Canis lupus familiaris: one gene and its partners. The protein of the gene in region 2 purifies or fractionates together with the protein of the main gene of each other region. This does not show direct contact. Links are inferred from orthologs where the notes say so. Each region holds a gene or a part of one and is shown on either strand. Other genes may lie near its edges.

Region 1 (4,162 bases), on a different chromosome or scaffold from region 2:
CCGGAATCGAATCCCACGTCGGGCTCCCGGTGCATGGAGCCTGCTTCTCCCTCTGCCTGTGTCTGCCTCTCTCTCTCTCTCTCTGTGACTATCATAAATAAATAAAAATAAAAAAAATCAGTAACATTTTTAACCAAATAACCTTCTAGTTTGCAGTCAAGTAGTGTGTTTCTGAATCTCCCAATTGTTTACTTACAGTTCATAAGCACAAATTCCTTTAGGTCTTAACCCAGGAACTGTCCTCACTTTATCTTCAAATGAGAAAGTTACATTCTGGTTTTGAAATCAATTACTTGCAAGCTAAAGGCAGTGCTTTAAAAAAAAAAAAAGCTTTAAAAATAAACATAATCTTAGGAAATAAAAGTCAATTATATTTACTCAGAGCTTCTTTAGAAAGAATCAGATATAACCTTCATTGTTCCTTGGAATGTCGCCCAGCACAAGTTACTTAATCCATTTCTGACATGTTTCCTCACCTGTAAAATGGAGATAATAGTACCTACCTCACAAGATTGGCCCTAAGATTAATCATGGTAACTTTTGGGTATTGGCATTAGCTTTATCCTTTCACTACTCATTTAAACAAAGAGATCTCTCAAGAAAAAGGAGGAGGAGGAGGAAGAAGAGGAAGAAGAGGAAGAAGAAGAAGAAGAAGAAGAAGAAGAAGAAGAAGAAGAAGAAGAAGAAGAAGAAGAAGAAAGCGATGTCTACTCAACGACTAATATTCATTTCCAGCAAATACAAAGGGATCTTTCAAGTAGCCAAGCGCAAGAAATTTCTCTGGAAAATTAATATTTCATTCATTTGGCATCAGATAAATCTGGGTTGGAAATGGCTCTTCTACCCTCTGTCTCACTGTGGGAGTGAAAGTCACAGTTGTAGTACTTAACCCTTCTTTATATCGATTTGCTCCCCTACAGAACCAGGATAATACCACTTACTTCAAAGAGTTGGTGTAAAAACTAAACGAGGAAACATACGTGATATGTCTACCAGGGGTTTAAGAGCTCAACTAAATGAAGTGGATTTCTTGTAGACAATTAAAAATATAGAGAGAGAGAGCTCAATAAATGGTAATTACAATAACACTGTTCATTAATTCAAAAGATATCCAAGGATCCCTTACTACTGCAGATGCATAAAGCTTAATAATCCTCAGTGTTTACCCTGGCCTTAGGAGAGAGAACAGAGGGAAACACGCAGAAACACTTCAGGACCACTTCTGCAAGGAACTAAACTTCACCGTCTCCTTACACCACCCGAGCCTTAAGTCTGGGACAACCGGCCGGCTTCCTCAAGCGCAATTACACTGCCTAAGCTCCGCCCCCTTAGACTCCGCACTTAAGGTCTGCGCCTGCGCCGTGACCTGCACTTGGCGCATGCGCCAAAGGGGGACTGGCGGGATTAAAAACCATGGCGTGGATGCCAGCAGAATCCGCAGTGGAAGAGTTGATGCCCAGGCTGTTGCCAGTGGAACCGTGCGACTTGACAGAGAGTTTTGATCCCTCCGTCCCACCGAGGACGCCTCAGGAATACCTGAGGCGGGTCCAGTGAGTGATTTGGCCCCGTGCGGGTGGGCTGGTCGTCCGCTCTGCCCCCGGGCACAGCTCGACCCCTACCTACGTGTGATAAAGCCCCGCCTCAGTGGCCGTTCCCTCTTTCACGCGAGGTAGGGTCGAATCAAGATCACTTGATGACATCTTTACCTGGGCGAGTTTTTATGAATGTAATTCTGTTTACCTGTGTCAAGATGTGTGCTTTTGGATTTCCTTGCTTTCCAGTTAGTTTCGGAAATAACCTTGTGTAGTACGTGCATTGCGCTTCCTTTTTTTTTTTTTTTTTTTCTGATTTCGTGAAGAACTGTAGAATGGATCGCTCGTTTTACTGCACAGGAACAAAGCACAGCCGTAATCACATTTCTTGCATTTATTACTTATTTGTAGGATCGAAGCAGCTCAATGTCCAGATGTTGTGGTAGCTCAGATTGACCCAAAGAAGTTGAAAAGGAAGCAAAGTGTGAATGTTTCTGTGAGTTTTATGACCCAGCAGGGGATTCTCCCCTTCCTCCCCCTCTCCCCTCGACCAAATGGAAAGCTCAGTGGCCTTCCTGTGGTATCCTGTAGTATCTTTATGATTTATGTAAGATTGGACTACTTCCTGAGACATTGAACATTAGCTTGGACTTTTAACCCTCAAAAGGACAGTTGGCATTTACTGCCCCCAGAGCAGTTTCCAGTAACCCTGGCATTCGTGGAGACTCCTCATACTTCAGGGCTGTGATCCAATTCTAAAGGACTCTAAATAGGTTACTTACGTTATTCTTTATTTTTAAGGAACCTTTTTCCAGTCTTGTTCATAATTATTCTTGGATTGGTGTTTAATGCTATTTAGTGCAATATTGCATGTTCTGAATTTGGGCTTTGTTTTTTTAAGAATAGAAACTCAGGTGTCTTACATTTTTCTAGTTACTTGCACACACACCTTGAATATTTTTTGTGAAGTGACTAGGTTGTGCCAGGCCCTGGGATTACAATAGAAAATGAGGCACAAAAATCCCTACCCTGGCAGAGTTTACATTCTCCTGAGGAATACAGAGTAAACAAGCAAACAAAGTAATTATATATTATGACTTTTTTTTTTTTGAGATTTTATTCATTTATTCATGAGAGACACAGAGAAGAGAGGTAGAGACGCAGGCAGAGGGAGAAGCTGGCTCCTTACAGGGAGCCAGATGTAGGACTCGATCCCAGGACCCCAGGATCAAGACCTGAATGAAAGGCAGACACTCAACCACTGAGCCACCTAGGCACATCTATATTGACTTGATATGAAGAAAATTAACCTGTATATGACCAATAAGTAACAAGGTTACTTGTTTACAATTGTACTGTTGACAATTAAAATTGTCACAGAAAGTCTCTCTAAGGACATATTATTTAACCTAGGGTCAAAGGAGAGCAGCAGTTTTTAAATTGTGATAGGTCCTTTTCCTCTTATGAAATTTTAATTCAGATGCTATAATGTTTCACATATTTTCAGAAATTTTTAGTTGATGGATGAGAATATCTTATCTACCTAGCTTTTAAAAAACACACTATTATTTCAAGGCAATATGTATTTCAAGGCAGTATTTTGACCTATTGTGCTGTCTTAGGAAGCTGAAGTAGCCTTTGTAAAGTCAAATGTCTTAGATTATTTGAGTACATTCTGCCAATACCAAATTCTTTATGTGGGTTATGTCTCCTCATTTCAAATAATTGTCTTCTTATAGAAAGGTAGGACTAAATTATGTCTTCAGGGCTCATATAATTTAGATTTCTTAGTTTAGAAACTCCAAATATGAACCATTCCAGATTGCTCTTATTGAAGTGACCCCACAAGGATCTTTTCCTAATGTTCAAACTTGGACATAAATAGTAAAGTGAAAGGCCTACTTTTTGGCATCTGCAGAGTACAGTATCTTTCTTAGATAGCCTTAATCATTTACTTTATTACTCTTCATCTTGGTTGTGCTTTTACTTTGCAGAGGAATGACGTTCTAGTTATAACACTAACATCGATTCTAATATTTATGAACTGATCTCTAGCTTTCAGGATGCCAACCTGCTCCTGAAGGATATTCTCCCACACTTCAGTGGCAACAACAACAAGTGGCACAGTTTTCATCTGTTCGACAGGTGAGCGTACTTTAATCATTTTATCAAATTAAACCCCTTCCATTAGAAAGACAGTTCTAATTTTACTCATATGGAATATAAGAAACAGTGCAGAGGATCATAGGGGAAGGGAGGGAAAACTGATTGGGAAGTAATCAGAAAGGGAAACAAGCCATGAGAGATTCTTAACTATAGGAAACAAACGGAGGGTTGCTGAAGGGGAGGGGGAGGATGAGGTAATAGGGTGGTGGGCTTTAAACAGGGCCTATGATGTGATGAGCACTGGGTATTGTATGCAGCTAATGAATTCCTGAACTCTACATCTGAAACTAATGATGTAATATATGTTGACTAATTGAATTTTAAATAAAAATTAAACCCCTCTCTCCCTCAAGAATTATTTCTGTTCTTAGACTGTAGTTGGAAAAATAAGATTCATTATACTTTTTTTTAGATTTATTTATTTGAGAGAGCGAAAGTGCATGCAAGCAGGCAGGCATATGAGT
Region 2 (4,001 bases):
CATTAGGGACCTAAGTGTACGCTGCAGAGTAGAGCTAGCTGTGTGACATCTGGGGAACTGTTTTTAGGAAGAGGACACAGCAAATGAAAAGGCCTTATGACAGTAATGTTTTTGATGTGCCTGAGGAACAGCAAGGAGGCCCATGTCACTGGACCAAATCAGGGTCAGATATCTAGGTCCATGAAAGAGAGCCTTGAGACTAAGGTAACTAACTATGGGAGGACAAGGTGAAACTACATGTTCTCAGCTACAAGAAGAAGAAAAAAAAAAAAAAAAAACCTAGGGAGAAAATATGCCAAAACAATTCACAGCAGTTTCTGGGTACATGAGATTATGTGTTGTTTTCTGGTACTTCTTTGCTTTCCTGAATTCTCCAACTTTCAAAAATGACTATGTATTACTCTGAGAACACAAAAGATCTTTAGTTCAAAAATACAAATTTGGTTTATGGAACTTATTCGGGATTTTAGCATTTCACCTACTGCCAAATTGTCAGAAGCCAGAATCTCAACTACATCTCAAATTCACAAGTAGAACAGCTTAGGCCTTTGGGAAGCAAAAGGGCTTCCTATGGGCACAACCCAGGATTTGGTAGACATAGAGGAATGTGGATATGCTGGCATACTGTTTATACATAACACGGGCTCAACAAAACTTTGTTAAAGAAAGGATCCCCAAACCTAAGTCTCTTACTAATTTGGGCAGACCATCTTTAGACCTACTCCAAGAAAACCTAGAAATGGGAGACCAATAGGGTATACTCACAGAGCTCTAAGAATCACCTGCAGTTACCAGCAGCAATAGCCAGCGCACTGTCTTCTCATCAGTCAGGCCAAATACTAAATCTTACCACAATCGGGTCAGCAAGTAAAAGAATAAAGAAACCCTACCTGTATTCTCAGGTAATGCAAAAACCGACACACGTGGCAGACATAATCTATTAGAGATGCAGTGATAGAAATTCCCAAACATTAAGGATGCAGTGATAGAAATTCCCAAACACTAACGACGGAACCCTGGTCACTGTCCACACCACCACCATCCAATAGCTTTAATGTCTCCTTAACTTCTAGACCTTTCATTTGCTTGACTCAAGCATTCATCAAATCCATCTGTCTCTCGGGAGCTACTGGTATTGCATCCGACCCCGTGATAAAGTCCACATAACAGGGACGCCTGGGTGGCTCAGTTGTTGAGCATCTCGCATCTGGTGATCGCAGCCCCTAGGAGGCCCCCTGCATGGAGCCTGCTTCTCCCTCTGCCTGTGTCTCTGCCTCTCTGTGTGTGTCTCATGAATAAATAAAATCTTAAACACACACACACACATCCACATAACATGACCTCCTTTGGGTCCTCCAAATCATACTCACCTGGGTACTTTGGTTTTCGAGGACGAGAGAGTCCAAAGCAATGGTAGAGAACACACAGGTTTTCCCAGTGCCAGACTTGGCTTGAACAATTAAATCTGAGGGGGGAAAAAAAAACAAAAGAAAATAGATCACAAGGTAGCACGGGACTAAAGAAGCTTGGATACCAACACGAAATCACACAACCGGAGGTGTCTCCAGGGATCACCTGGTTGGCACCTTCGTTCTTAGCTAACTCTTAAATAAATAAATAAATAAATATAAAGAAAATAAAATAAAGATAAAAATAAAGAAACAAAAAAAAGAGAAGGAAATAGAAGAAAGAAAAAAGAAAAAAAAAAAAAAAAAAAAAAGAAAGAGAAATAAATAAGAATATAAAATAAAATAATAAAATATAAAAAAAATAAATAAAGTAATAAAAAAAAAATATAAATAAATAAAAATATAAATAAATAAAAATAGAAATAAGATAAATATAAAAATAAATAAATATAAGTAAATATAAATAAATAAATAAAATATAAAAAATATAAATATAAGTAAATGTAAATAAAAATAAATATAAATAAATAAAAATATAAATAAATATAAATATAAATAAATAAAATATAAGTAAATATAAATAAATATAAATAAATATAAATAAGTATAAATATAAATAAAAATAAATATAAATAAGTATAAATATAAATAAAAATAAATAAAAATAAATAAAAATATAAATAAATATAAATAAATATAAGTAAATATAAATAAATAAATATAAAATAGAAATATAAGTAAATATAAATAAAAATAAATATAAATAAAAATAAATATAAATAAATATAAATATAAATAAATAAATATAAATAAATATAAATAAATATAAATAAATAAAAATAAATAAAAATAAATATAAATAAGTATAAATAAGTATAAATAAGTATAAATAATAAATCAATCAATCAATCAATCACACACACACACACACACACACACACGGATACAGCCTCAGGGCACGTCCGGAGGCGGGCCTCGGCCCCGAACCTCCCGGTCCCTGCGAAGGGGCCGCCGCCACCTCCCGCCCGAACGCCGCCCTCGGCCCGGCCTCCTCCGCCCTCACCGAGCCCGCAGCGCCCCAGCGGGATGGCCTTGAGCTGCACCGGCGAGGGCCGCTCGAAGCCGGCCGCCCGCAGCCCGTCCAGCACCGGCCGCGACAGCAGCAGCGACTCGAAGTCGGCCGGCTCGGCCAGCAGCACGTCCCCGGTGCGAGCCCGCGGGCCGCCGACGTCGTGAGCCGTCCGCAGGCTCCGCGCCGGCCCGGGAGCCGCCTCCGAGGCCGCGAGCGGGGGGTCCACGCGCCCCGCCGGCCCCGCCGCCCCCGCCGCCCCCGCCGGCCCCGCCGGCCCCGCCGCCGCTAACGCCGCGGGCGCTTCAAACGCCGCCGCCATCGCCGCCGCGCCGCCGGGTCTCGCGGCGCCGCCGGGTCTCGCGGTACTTGAGGCGGGGGCGGGGAGCCCGCGGACGGGAACGCGGAAAACTTTATTGTCAGTCCTCGCGGGAGACAGCGGGGCCGGCAGTCGGCTCGGCGGTGCGCGCGGGGCACACCCCGCCCCCGGGCCGCCGAGCCCTCCCCGCCCGCGCAGGGCGCCCGAGCGCCGCCTGGGGGTCCGGGTCGGGTCCGGTCCGGCCGCTGTCGACTCGGGGCGGCTCCAGCACCCTGTGCCCTGGCCCCGGCGGGGCACGCGGCTCCCCGAGCGACCCCGCCACCTGCCACCTCCCAAACCCGGAGCGGGCCCCGGAGCCCCCTGACCGCAGCCCTGCGCCTCCAGCTGCGCCTCCACCTGCCCCCGCGCACCCCGCGCGCCCTCCCCGGGGGCCACCGACGGTCCGCAGCTTCCCCTTCCCGGAGGTCTCTGCTCAGCGCCTTCCCGAGGAGCCCACGCCTCACCTGCAGCACCGCGATGTGTGCTTTTTTTTTTTTTTTTTTTAATTTAAATGTGATTAGCCAGCCTGCAAGTGCATCATTCGTTTCAGATGTGGGGTTCGGCAATTCATTCGCTGCAGATAATACCCAGTGCTCACCGCATCACCCCATTACCCCCCCCCCCCGCAGCGCCCCCCAGTCTGTTTCCTAGAGCTAAGTCCCTCAGGCTTTGGCTCCCTCTGGTTTTCTGTCCCTTCCCCCATGACCATTGCACGCTTCCTTATACTCCACATAGGACTGGAACCACGTAATCGTCCTCCTCTCAGCATAATACGGTCCCGGTCCAGCCACGTCACTGCATCTTCACTCCAGCAGAGTCAACAGTGTCACGTCGACCTCACGCGCACAGCATAGGGATTCGACCACCCTGCGCATGACTCGGCTCATCACGATCACGCTCCAATCTCTATCACCTGTTTCACCCCTACCTGTTAGTGTTCTCTAACAGAACTACCCCACCCCCTCCACTCGCCCACCTTTCCCACTACTCTCTGTCTCTTGTTCTGCCTTATTTTTCTCCACGGTACTTACCCCTACCCTAAGACTGTTTATTGTCTGTATCCCCCACTCTACTAGGACAGGAACTTGTCTGGCTCTCTCCTGTGTTCCTAATGGGGACAAAATCAGATCTCAAAACATAGGAAGTGCTCAACATTTATTGAACA
Region 3 (3,133 bases), on a different chromosome or scaffold from region 2:
TCCAAAACAGAAGTTTTATGAATAGTAATTATCTTTCCTACGGGCAGTGTATACTAGTATTTTACTTTTTTTTTTTTTTTTTTTTAATGTGTTGGTTCCAACCCATCAAATTGAAGATGGGTTCCATAGTTGGATCATGACCTGAAAATTGAAGACAGTGGTCTGTTTGCCATACGTGTAATGTTCCAGATGCCTGATCAGTTGCCTGTCCTGGTTAGAATGTCTGCTCTCCAAGCAGCCTTTCTCCTTTTTCACCAGCACTGCGAAAAGTCATTTCCTTATATGGAACTCGGGCCTGCCTCACTGAAGCTTTCTTCTGGTTAGTGTGGTGCAGAAGGGTGCACGAGAGGGCCAAGTTCTGGAGTCAGCCGGCAGTCCTGTTCCATTTCTGCACCTTCGTTGCCAAGTCCCTGTGGATAAGCGACTGTCTTTGTTTTCTCATCTGAAGAAGGAGTCTTTTGTTTCCTCTTAGAGTTGTTCAGTCAGTTATTTGATGACAGTACATAGACTTTTATATTCTGGGTGCTATACCACATGCTGGTTACAACGAGCAGAGCCAGATGTAGTCCGACTTTGACAGTGCGTCACAGGCTGCCGGGAGAGGCAGGCATTGCTCAACTCACACAGATGTAGGAAATGTGAAGCTCCCCCTTAAAGGTTCAGGAAGGAAATGTATGTGGGCTGTGAGTATATAGTGGAGAACAGCTTAATCTGGTAGGTCAGGGAAGGCTTCCTGAAGAAGTGATGTATGGGCTGACACATAAAGGATGAACAAGTTCACTCCACAGGAAGGTAAGATTCTAGAGAAAAAGATGAATGATCCCCCAAACTAGGACGGAAAAGAGCTTGAGAATAGCCCAGAATGTAAAGAACCAGGGGCTCCTGGTTTGAAAGGTGAGCATTGGGAAACCATTGGAGGTTTTGAGGCAGATCACATTTTCAGTTAGAAAGTTTATTGGGGGGATCTCTGGGCGGCTCAGCAGTTGGGCGCCTGCCTTTGGCCCAGGGCGTGATCCTGCAGTCCCGGGATCAAGTCCCACATCAGGCTCCCTGCATGGAGCCTGCTTCTCCCTCTGCCTGTGTCTCTGCCTCTCTGTCTCTCTCTTTCTCTCTGTGTCTCTCATGAATAAATTAATAAAATCTTAAAAAAAGAAAGTTTATTGGCTTGGCGTGCCTTGGTGGCACAGTCAGGAGTCAGCCTTCGGCTCAGGTCATGATCTCTGTGTCCTGGAGTTGAGCTCCCTGCTCAGTGGGGAGTCTTCTTGTCCCCATCTTTAGCCCCTCCACACACTCCCACCCCTCATGCTGGCTCTGTCTCAAAGTCTTAAAGAAAAAAAAAGGTCAGTGGCTTTGGTTGGTGGGAGAAGACACCTGAGGGGAAAGGGTTTGGCCGCTCGGTGGTACCTAGCAGTTAGGGATCTGCGCTTTGGAGTGCAAGTTCAAGTGTGAACTTGCAGGTGTTTCCCATTGGGCACTTGGTGACGGTCTTCATGTGTCTTTGAAGCAAGGTTGTCCTGTTAAAAGTGCACCTCGCAGAGGTGGTTGCAGTCCTTTCCTTTGCTGTTTGGTGCCCCTCCTTTCCCTTCCCTAAGCCAGCTACCCAGACTGACCCTCTCTCGCCTGCCCCCACCCCAGGAGGTGGCCTAGGCGGGACCAGAAGAGGCGGGGCTGACGTGAACATCCGGCATTCAGGCCGGGACGATACTTCCCGCTACGATGAGAGGTAAGATTAGGCAGCTGGTTTCCTGGGCTCGGGGTGGTCACATGGGGAACCCTGCCGCAAACCTCTGCCCACCTCATCCAGGCCCGGCCCCTCCCCGCTTCCCCACAGGGACCGGGACCGGGACCGTGAGCGGGAGCGCAGGGAACGAAGCCGCGAGCGAGACAAGGAGCGAGAACGGCGACGCTCCCGCTCTCGGGACCGGCGGCGGCGCTCACGGAGTCGCGACAAGGAGGAGCGGAGGCGCTCCAGGGAGCGGAGTAAGGACAAGGACCGGGAGCGGAAGCGGCGAAGTAGCCGGAGCCGAGAACGGGCACGACGGGAGCGCGAGCGCAAGGAGGAGCTACGTGGTGGCGGCGGCGGTGGCGGTGACATGGCGGAGCCCTCTGAGGCCGGTGATGCGCCCCCTGACGATGGGCCTCCTGGGGAGCTGGGTCCTGATGGCCCTGATGGTCCAGAGGAGAAGGGTCGGGATCGTGACCGGGAACGACGTCGGAGCCACCGGAGCGAGCGAGAGCGGCGTCGGGACCGCGATCGAGACCGGGATCGCGAGCACAAGCGGGGGGAGCGGGGTGGTGAACGGGGCAGGGATGAGGCCCGAGGTGGGGGTGGTGGTGGCCAGGACAACGGGCTGGAGGGTCTGGGCAACGAAAGCCGAGACATGTACATGGAGTCTGAGGGAGGTGATGGGTATCTTGCTCCGGAGAACGGGTATTTGATGGAGGCTGCACCAGAGTGAAGAGGGCCTCCCCCACTGTTTTATTTGGACGTGTTCCTACCCACCCATTTACTGTCATCCTCTCCCCCAATCTTCTTGGCCACCACCTAAGTTTGCCAGCCAAGGGTAGGAGTCTCCCTTATTTGTTCTGGCCCCTTGGATTTAAAAATAAAATTAATTTCCTGTTGATAATGAGCACCTTGGTTTCTTTTTCACTGCTCTTTGCCTTCCCCAGAAGGTCATCACCTGACTGTTGATAGTTCTACTTTGGTTGTGTCCTGGGCCTGCTGAGAACTTGGGCTTTGTGACCTAAGTCTGGGGCTACCTGGACTATACCAGACCTTAAAATGGAATAAGGAGGTGCTCTAAGGGTTCCTTCTGTTAGGGTTCTTTATCCTTTTGTGATTTTTTTTAAACATCTTCCATACATTCCCTGGGGCGCCATCCCTACTCAGGTCTCGGTGGCTGGATAGGGCTCTAGACACTCGATTGGTGGAAGCTGCAAGTTTGTTTGAAAGGGAAACTGAGTTGTAGAGTGGGGAAAGGGCTGAGGAGATGAAGTAGGAGCACAGGCTGCAGAACATCTGCAGGAAGGGCAAAGGGCCTGCGATTCATGATAGGAAGTTGACCATGAGTATCTTCATACTTGGCTAGTGACAGTGGAGGATTAACAAGAAATAGGAGAGGTTCTGTCA
Region 4 (4,162 bases), on a different chromosome or scaffold from region 2:
CTCTCTGGAGGAAACCATGGTTTTCTGGCATTTATTTAGGGATGTTCTTGAGACTTGCAAAGCCTGCTTAGGATGCTAAGCTCCTTGCAGGCAGGGCTCTTGGTCTTTGCATCACCCTGGCAGGAGGAACACTCAGGTCCTCGCACCCAGTACGCAGGTAGCACACGTTTATAGGATGAAGGAAAGCGCAGGCGGGTAGGTTACATCGGCGACCAGCGAGTGTGGACTTCGTGTCACCTTGAGACTTGTAACCCCCATCAACGAGGAGAGGGAGGGGGTAACCGCGGCCGGAGCCGGGGCCCGGGTGGGGGCGAGGGACGGCCTCCGTGAGCACGGCGGGGAGCACGGGGCGGGGTCCCAGAGGCAAAGGGCGCGCGCCCGCCCTCCCGGCGGCTTGGCTTGGACCTCACGCAGCTAACACGCGCCCCAAACTCACTGTTCAAGTTTTTTTTTCCATGACGCTCTGGGCTCCCGGCCGGGAGGTGGCGGTGTGGTCGTGCGCAGGCCCCGCGCCTTCAAGTTCAAGCTCCGGGCTGGGCGCGAGCTTCCCCACGGTCGCCTTTCGGTAGTAACTTGAAAAACCAGGCAGGCGGGGAGGCCGGGGCCGGGGCCGGGGCCGGGGCCGGGGCGGGGACGGCCACAGCAGCCGGGCCGCTGGGGGGCGGGGGGGCGCGGGGGGGGGGGGCGCCGTGCGCCGCCCCCCCAGCCGGAGCGGGCGCCCCATGCGAGGAGGCGGCGCGGACACCAGGGGGGGCTTCTGCTCTTTTCTTCCCGGCCTCCGGCGGCGATGCCCCGCGGGCCCCGCTCCGCCCAGGAGGGGAAGACGGCGCCCCCGGAGCCGCTGGGAGGGGCCCCGCCCCGCCCCCGCGCCCCGCCCCCGCGGTGGGGCCCCGCGCCCTCGCCCCCGCCCCCACCTCCACCTCCCCGCGGGGCCCGCGCCCGCCCCCCCGCCGGGCTCCCGGCCGCCCGCGCGCCGCCCCGCCCCCTCCTCCCCCTCTCCGTTCTCCCCTTCCTCCTCCCCCTCCTTCCCCTCTTCCCTCCCTCCCTCTCCTTCGCCCCGCCCTCCTCCCCCTCCCCTCCCCTTCGCCCCGCCCTCCCCTCCCTCCTCCCTCCTCCCCTCCTCCCCCCCTCCCCTCTCCTTCGCCCCTCCCTCCCCTCCCTCCCCTCCCTCCTCCCCTCCCTCTCTCGCTCGCCCCTCCCTCCCTCCCTCCCTCCCTCCCCCCCCGCCCGCCGCCTCCGCCCGCCGCCCCGGCCGCGTCGGGTAAACCTGTTTGGCGAGGCGGCCGCGCCGGGGCGGATCGTGCGGCCGGCGGCTCCCTCGCGGCTCGCGGCGTCGGGGCCCGTGGCGCGCGCGCGGCCGCCCCTCGGCCCCGGAGCCCCTCGGCGGCGCCACCATGTACTCGGGAGCCGGCCCCGGTGAGTCCTCGCGGGGGGCGCCGGCCCGGCCGCTCGCGCTCGGCCCCGCGGCGGCGGTTGGCGGGCGGGGGCGCGGGGCGGGGGCGCGGGGCGGGGGCGCGGGGCGCGCGGGCCTCGGGGGGCGCGGGGGGCGCGGGCGAGGCCGGGGCGCGGGGCCTGCGGGGCGGGCGGCGGCGGGGCCCCGGGCGGGGGGGCGGTCGTTCCTCGGCCCAGCGCGGGCGCGCAGCCCGGCCTCCCTCCGCGGCCCGGGTCGTCGGGGCGCCCCGCGCGGCCTGGGCCTTGGCGCCCCCCGCGCCCCGCGCCCCGCGCCCCGGGGGCCCCGCGGGTGGAGCCGGAGGCCGGGGCCGGGGCCGGGGCCGCGCGGCCCGCGTGTAGGCCCGAGGCCCGCGCCCGCCTCGCCCGCCGCCCGGCCCGGCCCGGCCTCCCGCGCCCCCGGCCTGCCCGCCGCGCCCCGGGGGTCGGCGGGGACGGCGGGGACGGCGGGGACTGCGGGGCGCCGGGGCGGGGGCGGGGCGGGGGTCGCGCCGGGTCGCGCCGAGCTCGGGGTGCGGGCGGCGGGGGCCGGGGACGCGCGGCTGCGGAGCCAGCCCGAGCCCGGCGAGCCTGGGGCGCACTCAGTTTCGTTTTTCTCGTTGCCAGCACTTCTGCGGCCCCTTCTCTGAAGGAAAGTCTGGAAAGGCTGAATTGTGGCCAATTCCCGCGGGTGGCGAGGACTGTAGCCCGAGAGGGACGGGAAGCGGCACCTTAAAACCCTAAGACTGCGTGCGTCTCATTTTCATTCCAGACACGCCGGCTGCTTATTCAAGTGTTAATTGCCTTTTACAATTTACTAGAAGCGGGCGAGGAGGAGTGTCGGTTCCCTTAGCACCCCTCCTCGCCCGGCCGCTCTCTTTCTTTGCAAAAGTTCTAAAAAACTTAAAGGAGTAACACGTTTCCCCCCCTTGTTTTCGACGCACCGTGGAAGGGCAGCCGGGGTGCTGGGCCAAGAAAACAGTCAAGTGTTGTAAAGCTTTTTTCCTTCTCCCGCCAGGCACGTGGCTCCTAAATTTCCCGGCTGGGCCTGCCACTTGGCCGGGGCATCGCCTGTCCCCTTTGTCTGCCAGGCCCCGGCCGCTGCAGGCTTGCTCGGTCCCCTCGCTAGGTGTGCTGATGGGGCCCTGGCGGCTCCCGCCCAGACGTGCTCCCCAGCGGGGGTCTGGAAGCCCCCCCTCCATCCACTCAGGCCCCTTGTTGCCGTGGGCCCTGGCTGCTGTGTCTGTCCACCAACACTTCTATGCCTTGTGAATTCTGAGTGTCTTTTTTTTCCCCCCTGATGTCACTTAATCTAAAAGCTTGTCCAAGGCCGAGTTCCATCAACTTTTAAGCCTCTCCAGACTCTGGGCAGCTTGATTGAGGAATGGTTTTAATCCTGCATCTGGGAGGTTCCTCAGGCCTGGTGGGGAAGGGCCCTGGGCTATGTGGGCACCGTCCCGAGGGCAGATTTGGCTTCTTGAGACCCTGGGCAGGCAGGTCTTGGGCACCCCCCACCCCCCCTTACCTAGCCAAGCAAGGGGGGATCTCCCAGGAATCCCTGTAAAGGGATCCCAGCGAGTCTTAGCCACTACAGTGTGGATTTATTTATTTATTTATTTATTTATTTATTTATTTATTTATTTATTTTCAGATTTTCAGTTTAAAAGTTGAGGGCCCAGAAAAAGTAGAGAACCTTGAGGAAGGTCAGGCTTTGTGTTGTGTGTCCAGTTAACCCACAGGATGGCTCGGCAAATTGGTGATGTTCGTTTTGAAGGTAGACGGCAGAGGCTCACGTAGGTTAAGAACGTTGCCAAGGTCATGTGGCTGGTGAGCATTAGGATGATATGTCTGATCCCAAGCTGACTGTACACCCTCCTCAAAGAGGTGGTTTTCGCTCCTTTTGACCTTGACCCACACTAAGAAATACCTGTTACATCTCGACTGGACCGGTGTGCGCATGCGCTCGCTCAGGTGTGATCGAAACAAGAGCTTGGCGAAGCTCTGCTTACCCTGAACTGTGCGCCGGGGGGTATTTTTCTCGCATTTCTGTTTTCAAAAACCTGTAGCCCCCCCTGGATCTCCGGGCTCCTTTCTGGTCACCAACAGCTTTTGGAAGGATCTGGCTCTGCTGCGATTCTCTGCATTGTGGCGTGGTGGGGAGAGGGCCCCGTGGTTCGCAGATAAACCTGCCCTGGAATTGGACAGCTTTGGTTGAAAAATAAATGGGTCTGTAGGATAGTTCTTAAGCTAATGGCAGGATGGGAATGAACCCAAATTTCAGGCTCTGTGAGTGTGCTGTAATTATAAGGCTGTGTGCAGTTCAGTTTTATTCTATCCACCGAGGCTTTTAATTTGGCTTAAAAGGAGCTTTTGGAGTAGTTTCTTGAATGAAACTTTTTTTAATGTTATATTTCCTATTTTAGAAGAATGAAAAGATGCTCGGTCTGGATTGTAGAAAAATTACAAATCGTTTTGCTCCTTCCGATTTTAATACACTTATTAAGCGACGTACTGAGTAAATTGACTTAAAAGGTAGAGTTCGCAGTAGCTATGTGTTAGGCCCACGATAAACGCTTTCCACGTGTGAATTAGCGTTTGTGCTCTGAGGTTCGGTACGTCGCTACTTCTTACTATTCTAACTATTCGAGAGAGTTTGGTGGTTCCAGGTAGTGGGTTCTCCAGCGACCCGGAGCCTTCAGAGATGAACAGATTAGTTTGTTGTTGGGGTTGAATG
Region 5 (3,235 bases), on a different chromosome or scaffold from region 2:
CTTTTTACCACATCACATTAAATCCCCTCCTCTTGACCTTGGTATTAAAGATGAGAGGTAAGACCCAGATGACAAAAGAATTTTATTTATAGGATAACAGTTAAAAGTTATGTGATGCAAGGCATATGACTTATGCTTTTTTTTTTATTATTACTAGTAAAGAAGAAAAAAATCAGCCACTTTCTCTGCCTGAATTAACCAAAAGGCTTACAGAGGCAAATGAGAGAATAGCTAAATTTCCTGAGAGTATTAAGGTAAGATTTATAGCAGTTCATTTGGTAAAACATGGTTTTTTATATTATCAATTTACTAAACCAAATTCTTTAAGGTTATCTGATTCTCTGTACTGTTTCGGAAATCTCTACACATCTGGATATGCTTAAAAATTTAGGATCCCGTGGTCTTTGGTTAACTAAAATGGGAGAACTGGATTATTGACAACACAATTTTATACCTCATTCTTCAGAGAAATGAAACAAATTTTGGAATTGGGAGGTAAAATAAAATTAAAATTGGTACTTGACAGGATGAGCACTGAGTGTCCTACTGTATGTTGGCAAATCGAACTTCAATAAAAAAAAGTTGGTACCATGTATTTGATAGTTACAGATGGATGAGTGTATTTGAATGTGGCACTGCTAGTAAAAGGAGAATCATGTTTTGAATTGAGTGGGGCTCTAGAAAAAGATTCTTTCATTTGAAGAGGATATCCCAGTATCCATCTGTTCTGAGTATTCCCTATCCTTAGAGTAACTGATGAAAAGCCCTGAAGGAGAAATTGCTAAGTTGTGCTGAGAAGTATCACTAAATGAGACTTGAAGGCGCTGGTGCCTCTCTCTATGCAGGTCTATGTGGCTCATTTGCAAATGCTTCCTTATTCATCCCTGTGTCATCTTTCAGACCTGGCCCTTCCCAGATGTGCTGGAGTGCTGTCTTATCCTGCTTCACATTGGGTCCCAGTGTCCTGGCAGCGTGACCCAGGACATGCAGCAACAGGCCCAAGAGCTCCTTCAGAAATATGGCAACACTAAAGTTTACAAAAGATACTGCCAGACCTTCTGCACATGAATTTTCAAGGAACTTTAAGAAAACTGTGCCAAATTCAGAACATATGACACCTTTCACCTCTGCAGTTACACCATGCCAGACATTCACTTTGATCCCTGGGTGTTTTTGCAGTGATCCAAATAACACAAATGGGGGTCAAGTTTGAATTGACTCTACCCTTAGACATAGTGAAATTGGACTTTGGACTCAGTTGTGGTTTCCTACTGGAGGAAGGATCATGAAAAGCCAGCAGTAGGTATTCAGAACACCTGCAGTGTGATTGTTGGTCATCTCTAAAGCCTTATGCAGGTTTCACCCAAAGAGGAGAAACTTTTTAATTACCCAAAGTATTATGTTCTCAAACACAAACTACCTTTAAAAATACTTAGCCTAATGGTAAACATGTCATTCTTGTTGGAGACAGAATTGCTCCATTTTATGACTTGGTATTATTTTTCTTATATTTGTTAATTTGGGTTCTCCCCCTTCTATTCTTTCAAAGACTTCACTTAGAATGTGAAATAGGCCTTTACCCATCATGTTGACTCTACCATCCATCTGAACTTTAGGTCAAAAACTTGGTTTTATTGTTTCATGTAATTGCTTATTTGAACAAATCATTTACTAAAGTGTTAGAAGAACAAATAACTGAAATTCAGATGTGTCTTATCCCTTCAGTTTTGTAAAATGTAATGGTGATTGAACAGCTCAGAAAGAAATTACTGTTTCAGTGGTTCTTAATCTTTTTTGGATCACAGGACCCTTTGAGAATTAAAACCACAGATGTTCTTTGAAGAAAAATGGGTAATTTTGCATATATAACTTTTGGATCATTTGACTCCAACTTCAGCATAATGGGATCCTACATACTATTTAATTATAAAACCTGTTCGTTCCCCCTCTCCTCCCATTATTGAGCATTCTCTTGAGGTCTTTTCTTTTCTCTGGTTAAATAGTTGAACAGTGTCAGGAACAGATGTTTCTGTAATATCCCAGTTGCTGGAATGTAAAAATCAGAAATAGTCTGGGGTAGGGTTCGGAGGGAGCACTCTTTACCAATAATGTAACTATTTTCTTTTGGAATTCATTGTGAAAGCTTTTCTGCTTGAGTGTCCAGTTTACTTTTCAGTTATTTCCTAAGTTGAGATGGTTGTGGACAACAAGAATAAAATTCACTAGCAGGAACTCTAGGAAGGAGAAAGTTTTAAGAGACCGTTATGTAAAGATCTGACTGACCAGGAGTTTTGTTTGTTTAATTAGACCTAGCTTTAAGATTTAAAAATGCTAAACCCAAAAAAGGAAATACTGTAGAATTTAGATCCTCCTAATTCTTTAGTTACTTGAGCTTGAGGAAGAAGATGCAGGTTACCAGAGATGGAGAATCTTGGTTGCAAAAAATTATACATAGACATGACTATGTGGAGGACTAGATACCAGTTCTACAGTCCTTGCTGAAATGAACACACACTTCACTTGCAGAGACAAAAAAATATTTATTCCCTATCATTTAATTAAAGAACAGTATTATTAAACTAGACATTCTAAACTCCTTTGTGATTTACCAGAACCATCATCTGTGCTTAGAGGAATCCTGCAGTCCTCGATTACTGCTTTGGTAAGAACAAGCGTTACTACTTGACAGCGACAGCTAATCAATAAAACTACCCAGAAGGTAACAGGTGACACAATTCCACTTCAAACAACCTCTTCTCTTTCCCATACTAGATAATTTCTATCTCCCTAATTATCAGAACCACAGAGAGCCAAAGCACTGAGGAGTTGACTCATGCTTAGTAGTTCTCACTAAGCAACTGAAGAAGTAGTGTTGGTCCTTTACCCAATCCAAACCACCATCTTGTTATCCAGATGACTGCTCTCACCTCCCACTGTCTCTATCTGCTCTTATTACTGATTCTCCATTCTTCATTTACCAATGCAAGTCTAAATTACAAACCAAATCTTGTCAATTTCCTGTTAAAAATTATTTCAGTACTGTCCCATTGTTAGTGGAAAAAAGATCATCTTGCAGGGCACAGGAGGCCCTGCCTGATCCTACCTTTTACCCCTTGGCCTCCTGTTTTTAGACTCTCATCCTTGCTTCTAGATTCCACCCACACTGGTCTCTTCGGCTGTCGGAACTACCAAGTTTTCAGTGGTTTTGCCCATGTTGTTCTTTTGCCTGGTCCAT
Region 6 (3,484 bases), on a different chromosome or scaffold from region 2:
CTTCTGATGGCCCTGCCCACCACCATCTGCCATGCAGAACTAGAGCGCTTTTTGGAGCACATGTCTGTTGACACTTCTTCAGAGGATGTGGCCTTTTTCCTCAGTGTCTGGTGGGAAATGATGAAGCACAAAGGCAATCAGCAGGATCCTCTGCTCTCCCAGTTTAGAACAATGGCCCATAAGTACTTGTCTTCTTCAGATGAGTTCTCCCATCCTCCAAAGAGGTTTAAGTCAGACCCAGAGGTGTGTCCCACTATGCCCCTGTTGGCCATGCTGCTCACTGGGCTAAAGCAAATCCAAAATAGAATCCTGTGCCCAGGGATGAAATGCTGCGCATTAGCCAACTTAGCAGACATGCTAACAGTATTTGCACTGATGGAGGATGACCCCCAGGAAGTGTCTGCAACTGTGTATCTGGACAAACTGGCCACAGTGATCTCCGTGTGGAATTCGGACACCCAGAACCCGTATTACCAACAGGCACTAGTAGAGAAGGTAAAGGAGGCAGAACGGGACGTCAGCCTGACCTCCCTGGCCAAGCTTCCAAGTGAGACGATTTTCACTGGGTTTGAGTTCATGTGCAGCCTCCTGCGGGAGTGGGGGAAGGAGCTGCAGACCATGCTCAACAGCAGCCAGGGGACAAGTTATGACAGCTACCGGCTGTGTGACAGCCTGACTTCCTTCAGCCAGAACTTGAAGCTCTACCTTGATTCTACCAGCTTGTCTAAGGAGGAGCGGCAGGTGGTCTCAGAGCTAGCAGAGTGTGTCGAAGACTTCCTGAGGAAAACAAACAGGGTGCTGAAGAATAAGGGCTTTGAGAAGGACATCACCGCCTCGATTGCCATGGCCATCATTGAGCAGAAGATGGACCGGCATATGGAAATGTGCTACATTTTTGCTTCTGAGAAGAAGTGGGCCTTCTCAGACCAGTGGCTAGCCTGCCTGGTTAATAACTGGGCTCTCTTCCGAGAGCCAGACTTGGTGTTAAAGCTGCTGGAAACAGTGATGGAAGTTACTGCGACAGACAGAGCCATCCCTGAATCTCAGATCAAACAAGTGATTGGCTTGATCCTGGAATGCTACGCAGACCTCTCGCTGCCAGATAAAAATAAAGTCCTCTCAGGCACCCTGCTTTCCTGGGGGCGGAAGGGTCTCTCTGAGAACCTGTTGGCTTACTTGGACGGGTTTCAGGAGGACCTCAACACAACTTTTAACCAGCTTGCGCAGAGTGCCTCTGAACAGGGCTTAGCTAAAGCGGTGGCTTCTGTGGCCCGCCTGATAATATTGCACCCGGAGATCACAGTGAAGAAAATGTGCAGCATGGCTGTGGTCAACCTTGGCACCCACAAATTCCTGGCTCAGATTCTCTCTGCCTTCCCTGCCCTTAGGTTCACCGAAGAGCAGGATCCAAATGCATCTACTACCTTTGTGGTGTCATGCCTCAAAGAAACTGTTTGGACAAAGTTCTCTACACCTAAGGAAGAAAAGCAATTTTTGGAGCTCCTGGGCTGCCTGGTGAGTCCTGTGAAGCCCCAGGGTATCCCGGTTGCTGCTCTTCTTGAGCCACATGAGGTGCTAAAGGAGTTTGTCCTGCCTTTCTTGATGCTTGATGTCAAAGAGGTAGACCTCAGTTTGAAGATTTTCCTCCAGACTCTTGAAGCAAATGCATGTTTAGAGGAATACTGGCTCCAGACCTGTTCTCCATTCCCCCTCATCTTCAGTTTGTGCCAGCTCCTGGACTGCTTCAGCAAATACTGGCAGCTCCCCAAGGAGAAACGGTGCCTCTTGTTGGATGGGAAGGATCTGGTGGTCCATATCCTGGAGATCCTCTGTGAGATCGTACTGGCTAATGCTGAGACATTTTCCCCAGACACCTGGATCAAGTCCCTGTCTTGGCTCCACCGGAAGTTGGAGCAGCTCGACTGGACAGTGCGCCTGAGGATGAAGAACCTCTTTGAGGGCCACTTCAAATGTGAGGTGCCAGCCACGCTTTTTGAGATCTGCAAGCTTTCTGAGGATGAATGGACTTCCCAGGCCCACCCTGGGTATGGGCCAGGCACAGGGCTTCTTGCCTGGATGGAGTGCTGCTACATTTCCAGCAGCATCTCTGAGCAGATGCTGTCCCTCTTGGTGGTAGATGTGGGTAACCCTGAAGAGGTCAGATTGTTCAGCAAGGGCTTTCTGGTGGCCCTGGTACAAGTCATGCCTTGGTGCAGCTCCCAAGAGTGGCAGTACCTTTACCAGCTGACCAGGAGACTATTGGAGAAACAACTCCTACATGTCCCTTATAGCCTGGAATATATTCAATTTGTTCCTCTGCTCAACCTGAAGCCCTTTGCCCCGGAGCTCCAGCTGTCCGTACTCTTGCTGAGAGTTTTCCAGTTTCTCTGCAGCCAGAGTTGTCGTAACTGGCTTCCTATAGAAGGCTGGAGCCATGTAGTCAGGCTTCTCTGTAACAGTCTGACCAATCTCCTGGACTCCGTTAGGATGATACAGTCAGTTGGCCCTTGGGCTCAAGGACAAGAACAGGACCTGACCCAGGAAACCCTGTTTTTTTATACCCAGGTATTCTGTCACGTTCTGCACATCATGGCCATGCTCCCCCACGAGGTGTGCGAGCCGCTGTATGTCTTGGCCTTGGAAATCCTCACCTGCTATGAAACCCTAAGCAAGGCTAATCCTTCTAGTAGTTCCCTGCTCCAGAAGGTAAATGAGCAGCGCTTCTTAAAGTCCATCGCTGAGAACATTAGCCCTGAGGAACGGCGCCAAACCCTGCTGCAGAAGATCAGCAACTTCTGACTTTTGTAGACCAGGAAACAGCTGGGCCTTGCCTTGGTGGGGGGCTCTAAGGGCTCGAGCTGAGAAACACAAGCTTTTCGGTGATGTGAAATTGTACACAAGCTAAAAGTATATGGCAGTAACTGTAAAGAAAATAGTTTCTTAGGTTGTAACATACAAATTATTAAATTCACTTTTGATTTTGATCGGGTCTCTAAGTCTCGTCAGTAGTCTAGGCTTAGATGTGCTCTGCAGTTGGGCACAGCTAGGGTCTTAAAGATCAAGGCAAGCTGGGAGGGACATTTTCATAACTGGACTTATCCACCCTAGAATTTGGCAAAGAAGTCCAAAGGTGAAACCACCCAAGTGGAAAAATTGCTAGGTATGTGTTGTTTTGCTCTGAAACCCTCTTTCAATAGTCATTTTGTGGGGTCTTGGAAAGGGCAGCAAGGAAAATAACTTGTCACTGGTTAGCCGTGTGACTTTTGAACCCAAAAAGCCTGCAGCACTGTAAAAGGAAAGCATTGGACCAAGAAAATTAAATAGACTAATAACCCCAAGAAAATGAGTGTGTTCTAAATTGAGGACTTTTGCCATATAGTCAACTCCATTCAGTGGATCCAGGAGGGGCTGTGAAAACTAAGTCTGGTAAACACAGCAGAGATGGATCTAAAGGACGGGTGTAATTATCTTCTGCCTGGGGTGG
Region 7 (3,946 bases), on a different chromosome or scaffold from region 2:
GCATCAAGCTTGATGGGAGACTTGATCCCAGGATCCCGGGATCCCACCCTGAGCCAAAGGCAGATATTCAAACATGAGCCACCCAGGCTCCCCAGAGTTTTTATTTATATTGAGTTTTCAGATCCTTCTAGTATGTTTACGCCTAATTATAACGTACAGGTATGTAACATCTACATCATTATCCGCACAACGAGAGTGCAGACTCGAGTTTTACAGCCTGGGTGGCCCAGCGGTTTAGCGCCGCCTTCAGCCCAGGGCGTGATCCTGGAGACCCGGGATCGAGTCCCGCGTCGGGCTCCCTGCATGGAGCCTGCTTCTCCCTCTGCCTGTGTCTCTGCCTCTCTCTCTGACTCTGTGTCTCTCATGAATAAATAAATAAAAATCTTTAAAAAATAAAAAAAAAGTTTGGGGGCCACTGCTCCAGAGTCCTCTGAGGTCCTTAAAAGGTTGAGTCATTTATTTTTTTAAAAAAGATTTTATTTATTCATGAGGGATACAGGGAGAGAGGCAGCGACCCAGGCAGCGGGAGCAACGGGCTCCCTGCGTAGAGCCCCATGCGGGACTCGATCGCAGGGCCCCGGGATCACACCCCGAGCCACCCGGGCGCCCAGGATAAGCCACTTGAAGGTAACGTAACACTCAGGACGAAAACGCTAACGGTACGGGGACTTTTACATAGGAGTGCCTGGAGAAATTACTTTTCTCACGGCCCTTAACTTGCAGACAACACCAGAGGGTCCTCCTTTGTAGTTGATAAGAACTGGGAAAAAAAAAAAAAAAAAAGTTTTTAGACGATGTTTGCCGGTTTCCCCGCCTAGATGTTCAGGCGACAGCACAGCCCGGCCGCGGGCACCGCTCGGCGCGTAATCCCCAGGGGCCGCCGGGGCCGCGGCGGAGACGAGCAGCCACGGCTCCCGCACTCACCACGCCCCGCCCGGGGACCGACAGACGGCGGCCGGCGGCTCAGACCGCGCCCCGCGGGCTCCGCGCAGACCAGAGCTCCTCCCGGCGTCCGCAGCCGGCGTGGGGCCAGCGTCACGTGCCCAGCGTGCGCCGACCTCGCGCCTGCGCGCTGCCGCACTCTTCGCTCCGCTGCCGGGCAAACGAGCCCTCTTGCCAGATCGTCACTTCCGACGGACGCTGGCGTCATTGGTGTCATCACTTCCTGCCAGTACCGGTGTGGACGGTGCGGGTCGTGGCCGCCGGCTCTGCGGTTCTCCCCCTCCCCTACTCTCCTCCCTCCCTCCCTCTCCCTCCCTTGGCGGCTGTCGGTCGCCGGGCGCAGGCTCCCTGACCCGTCCCCAACCCTTTCCTGACCTCGGTGCTACCCGATTGGCCTCTTTTTCCTGTTTCTCGGCCCAGCCCCAGCCCCCAGTGTCAGGGCGGGGGCCCTGAGCCGGAGGCTCTGCGGCAGACGAAAGAAAGAGCCCAAACGACGACCCTCGACGCCTCCGCCGCATCGCTCGGTTCGCCGCCGCCATGGCAATGAGGCAGACGCCGCTCACCTGCTCGGGCCACACGAGGCCTGTGGTCGATTTGGCCTTCAGTGGCATCACGCCCTATGGCTATTTCTTGATCAGCGCTTGCAAAGGTGAGCGGGGCCCCTGGATGCGGGTCCCTCACGGCTAGGACTGGGCCAGAAGGTAGTGTGGCCGGTCCTCCCCAGTGACAAAGGGGGAATCTCAGTCTTTGAGGTTGGGGCCAGCAGTGGTCTGATGGGGAAAACAGTGTAAGTACTGCCCCCAACTCAGGCCTCTCCTTTCACTTTCCAGAAATTGGCATTTCTGGAGAAGCGGGGCTGTACACTTGCCTAGACACCCCGGCCATCGTATTCTCTAAATAAATCTTTCAAGGATGGGGGGTGGGGGGGTGGAGAAAATATGCCAAGCCAAGTAATACCTTTCCCTATTTTAGAGACTTGTCATTGCTGTTAATTTATTGGACATTCCTTTATGGCATTAGCCCCATTTTTCAATTGGAAACCGAGGTTTAGGTTAAGTTTGTGCAAAATTAGGCCCAACTTTAGATTATTTTGATACGGATCAGCGTTAGTCCCACCGAATTATAAATGCTTCAGGGAGAATGTCTGGCTCAGCGCTTCAGTTTATTTCTGGACTTTTCTTAGTGACCCCAGCGAATAACGATAGTTACACAACAAAAGCCGTTTAACACTTTGGCATTTATCACGGTCACTTTATGTTTGGGTCTTTGATTTTAAGTAATCCGAACTCCTAAGTCACATGTCTTTTTAAATGTGTTTTAGACGGGAAACCTATGCTACGCCAGGGAGATACAGGAGACTGGATTGGAACATTTTTGGGTCATAAGGGTGCTGTTTGGGGCGCGACATTGAATAAGGATGCCACCAAAGCAGCTACAGCAGCTGCAGATTTCACTGCGTAAGTATAGCCAAATTGGCGGGTGTTGGAGATCCCCGTGGATTGTGTTGTGAAGTACTCAAAACTTCAGCTTCAGTTCATAAAATTTTGACTCCGTGCCTGCCATATAGAGCACATGATGTTTGATCTTTTCTAAAAACTCCACTCTGGTTCTTCCTGCTTTTTTCTCTTCAGTGGTTCTCATCAATTTTCAGAGACTTTAAATGACTTATTCTGTATGTCTCAATTGGGAACCAGGAATCTGTATTGTCGATAAGCACTCTAGATAACGAATCTTGGTTGTTGTGCTTAAAAATGCTCAACATGTGCTTCCTGAGTAATACCATTCCTGTGATGCCCTACTGCTGATGGCCCAGATTTTTAGCCCTGTCTCACTCCATTTTTGTTAACTAGCTTTGTACCTATTTAAAACTCAAATACTCTTCATTTTTAAGTTTTTTAAGGCTGAAATTTAAATATTCTTGATTTTTTCCCCTCTATGTCTATGTTGTATACCAACGGAGTGTCTACTATGATGGTTTTTATGCCTCTACCACTATCTTTCTGTCTCTGCATCTTCCCAGCTTCCTAAAAACAAATTTTATCATGTCATTTCTCCAGTGATCTTCCTGTCTTCCCTGTGCAGTTTCAGTGGTTCATGACCTTGAGTGAACCCAAAAATAACCCCAGAAGCTTTAAAATATTCATATGCATGTGTCTGAGAAATTCTGAATTGATCTGGGGATGGAATCCCAACATCAGTGTTTTCCTTTCCTAAAGTTCTTCTGGTTGGTTCTGATGTCAGGCCTTAGAATCACTGGCCTAAAGATTGAATTGCAGTTGTTGCCAGTTTGAAACTTGACTTCATCCTAATTTATCAGCATCGTCTGACACTGCACAGCATATGCCCTACAGTCTGGTTATATTAAACTTACTGTTTGCCAGAATACACCTTACCATTTTGGTTTTTGGCTTTTGCATATGTTAGAGTGACTTGCAATGACCCACTTTCCCCTTCAGGGCACTTTCCTATTTTATATAATCTTGGTATTCTAGTTCCTAATTGTGTTTTATGACTTAACCCTGAGAGGTTTAAACTGATAAAGGCAATGTCAAGAGCTATTGTGCGATAGTAAACCTTGTTAGACTCCAGTCTGGAAAGTCAAAATGGCTTTGTTTTCCTCTCTCCTCTCAGAATTCCAAACGGGAGCAATTGTTAATGTGTTACTTCTTTGTTCTAAGCAAATCAAATATACAAAGTGTCTTATAAAAAATGAAGGTAGATTGATGGTGGTAATGGATTTATGACTATGCATTTGTTGAAACATGTAGATTTCTATATCACAGAATGGATTTTACCATAGGTAAGATTAAAAAATAAGTTCCAATTTTTTTTTAAATAAGGAGAGGGCGATACAGTGCTTACCTGGAATTAAATTTGAGATGATGAGAGATCAACAAGAAAAGTTATAAATGTCAGCCTGAACTTTTTTCTGTGCCTTCAATGAATAGATTTCTATTATGTCTTTCTTCATAACCATTGTAGGGCTTTGCACTGTGCCCTGTTG

What was found.
Region 1: the proteins of DDX20 (region 2) and GEMIN2 purify together in Homo sapiens (affinity purification with mass spectrometry; 6 studies listed by BioGRID and IntAct, counting the BioPlex papers as one, with this or other methods). This does not show direct contact. The link is inferred for Canis lupus familiaris from reciprocal best matches to the Homo sapiens genes DDX20 and GEMIN2.
Region 3: the proteins of DDX20 (region 2) and SNRNP70 purify together in Homo sapiens (affinity purification with mass spectrometry; 4 studies listed by BioGRID and IntAct, counting the BioPlex papers as one, with this or other methods). This does not show direct contact. The link is inferred for Canis lupus familiaris from reciprocal best matches to the Homo sapiens genes DDX20 and SNRNP70.
Region 4: the proteins of DDX20 (region 2) and AGO2 purify together in Homo sapiens (affinity purification with western blotting; 3 studies listed by BioGRID). This does not show direct contact. The link is inferred for Canis lupus familiaris from reciprocal best matches to the Homo sapiens genes DDX20 and AGO2.
Region 5: the proteins of DDX20 (region 2) and GEMIN5 purify together in Homo sapiens (affinity purification with western blotting; 6 studies listed by BioGRID and IntAct, counting the BioPlex papers as one, with this or other methods). This does not show direct contact. The link is inferred for Canis lupus familiaris from reciprocal best matches to the Homo sapiens genes DDX20 and GEMIN5.
Region 6: the proteins of DDX20 (region 2) and GEMIN4 purify together in Homo sapiens (co-immunoprecipitation; 7 studies listed by BioGRID and IntAct, counting the BioPlex papers as one, with this or other methods). This does not show direct contact. The link is inferred for Canis lupus familiaris from reciprocal best matches to the Homo sapiens genes DDX20 and GEMIN4.
Region 7: the proteins of DDX20 (region 2) and STRAP purify together in Homo sapiens (affinity purification with mass spectrometry; 3 studies listed by BioGRID and IntAct, counting the BioPlex papers as one, with this or other methods). This does not show direct contact. The link is inferred for Canis lupus familiaris from reciprocal best matches to the Homo sapiens genes DDX20 and STRAP.

The regions. Positions count from the first base shown.
Region 1 is NC_049229.1:17,472,640-17,476,801, forward strand, and holds the start of GEMIN2 (gem-associated protein 2), read left to right. Parts: upstream 1-1,362; 5' UTR 1,363-1,413; coding exon 1,414-1,550; intron 1,551-1,943; coding exon 1,944-2,028; intron 2,029-3,587; coding exon 3,588-3,677; intron 3,678-4,162. UniProt on the Homo sapiens protein: The SMN complex catalyzes the assembly of small nuclear ribonucleoproteins (snRNPs), the building blocks of the spliceosome, and thereby plays an important role in the splicing of cellular pre-mRNAs.
Region 2 is NC_049238.1:64,448,322-64,452,322, forward strand, and holds the start of DDX20 (probable ATP-dependent RNA helicase DDX20), read right to left. Parts: upstream 2,801-4,001; coding exon 2,753-2,800; intron 2,681-2,752; coding exon 2,473-2,680; intron 1,466-2,472; coding exon 1,371-1,465; intron 1-1,370.
Region 3 is NC_049222.1:108,014,585-108,017,717, reverse strand, and holds the end of SNRNP70 (U1 small nuclear ribonucleoprotein 70 kDa), read left to right. Parts: intron 1-1,635; coding exon 1,636-1,723; intron 1,724-1,804; coding exon 1,805-2,459; 3' UTR 2,460-2,633; downstream 2,634-3,133. UniProt on the Homo sapiens protein: Component of the spliceosomal U1 snRNP, which is essential for recognition of the pre-mRNA 5' splice-site and the subsequent assembly of the spliceosome. SNRNP70 binds to the loop I region of U1-snRNA.
Region 4 is NC_049234.1:35,893,113-35,897,274, reverse strand, and holds the start of AGO2 (protein argonaute-2), read left to right. Parts: upstream 1-1,362; 5' UTR 1,363-1,394; coding exon 1,395-1,416; intron 1,417-4,162.
Region 5 is NC_049225.1:55,799,058-55,802,292, forward strand, and holds the end of GEMIN5 (gem-associated protein 5), read left to right. Parts: intron 1-157; coding exon 158-254; intron 255-900; coding exon 901-1,068; 3' UTR 1,069-2,735; downstream 2,736-3,235. UniProt on the Homo sapiens protein: The SMN complex catalyzes the assembly of small nuclear ribonucleoproteins (snRNPs), the building blocks of the spliceosome, and thereby plays an important role in the splicing of cellular pre-mRNAs.
Region 6 is NC_049230.1:45,012,478-45,015,961, forward strand, and holds the end of GEMIN4 (gem-associated protein 4), read left to right. Parts: coding exon 1-2,799; 3' UTR 2,800-2,984; downstream 2,985-3,484. UniProt on the Homo sapiens protein: The SMN complex catalyzes the assembly of small nuclear ribonucleoproteins (snRNPs), the building blocks of the spliceosome, and thereby plays an important role in the splicing of cellular pre-mRNAs.
Region 7 is NC_049248.1:15,351,553-15,355,498, forward strand, and holds the start of STRAP (serine-threonine kinase receptor-associated protein), read left to right. Parts: upstream 1-1,146; 5' UTR 1,147-1,479; coding exon 1,480-1,591; intron 1,592-2,263; coding exon 2,264-2,399; intron 2,400-3,946. UniProt on the Homo sapiens protein: The SMN complex catalyzes the assembly of small nuclear ribonucleoproteins (snRNPs), the building blocks of the spliceosome, and thereby plays an important role in the splicing of cellular pre-mRNAs.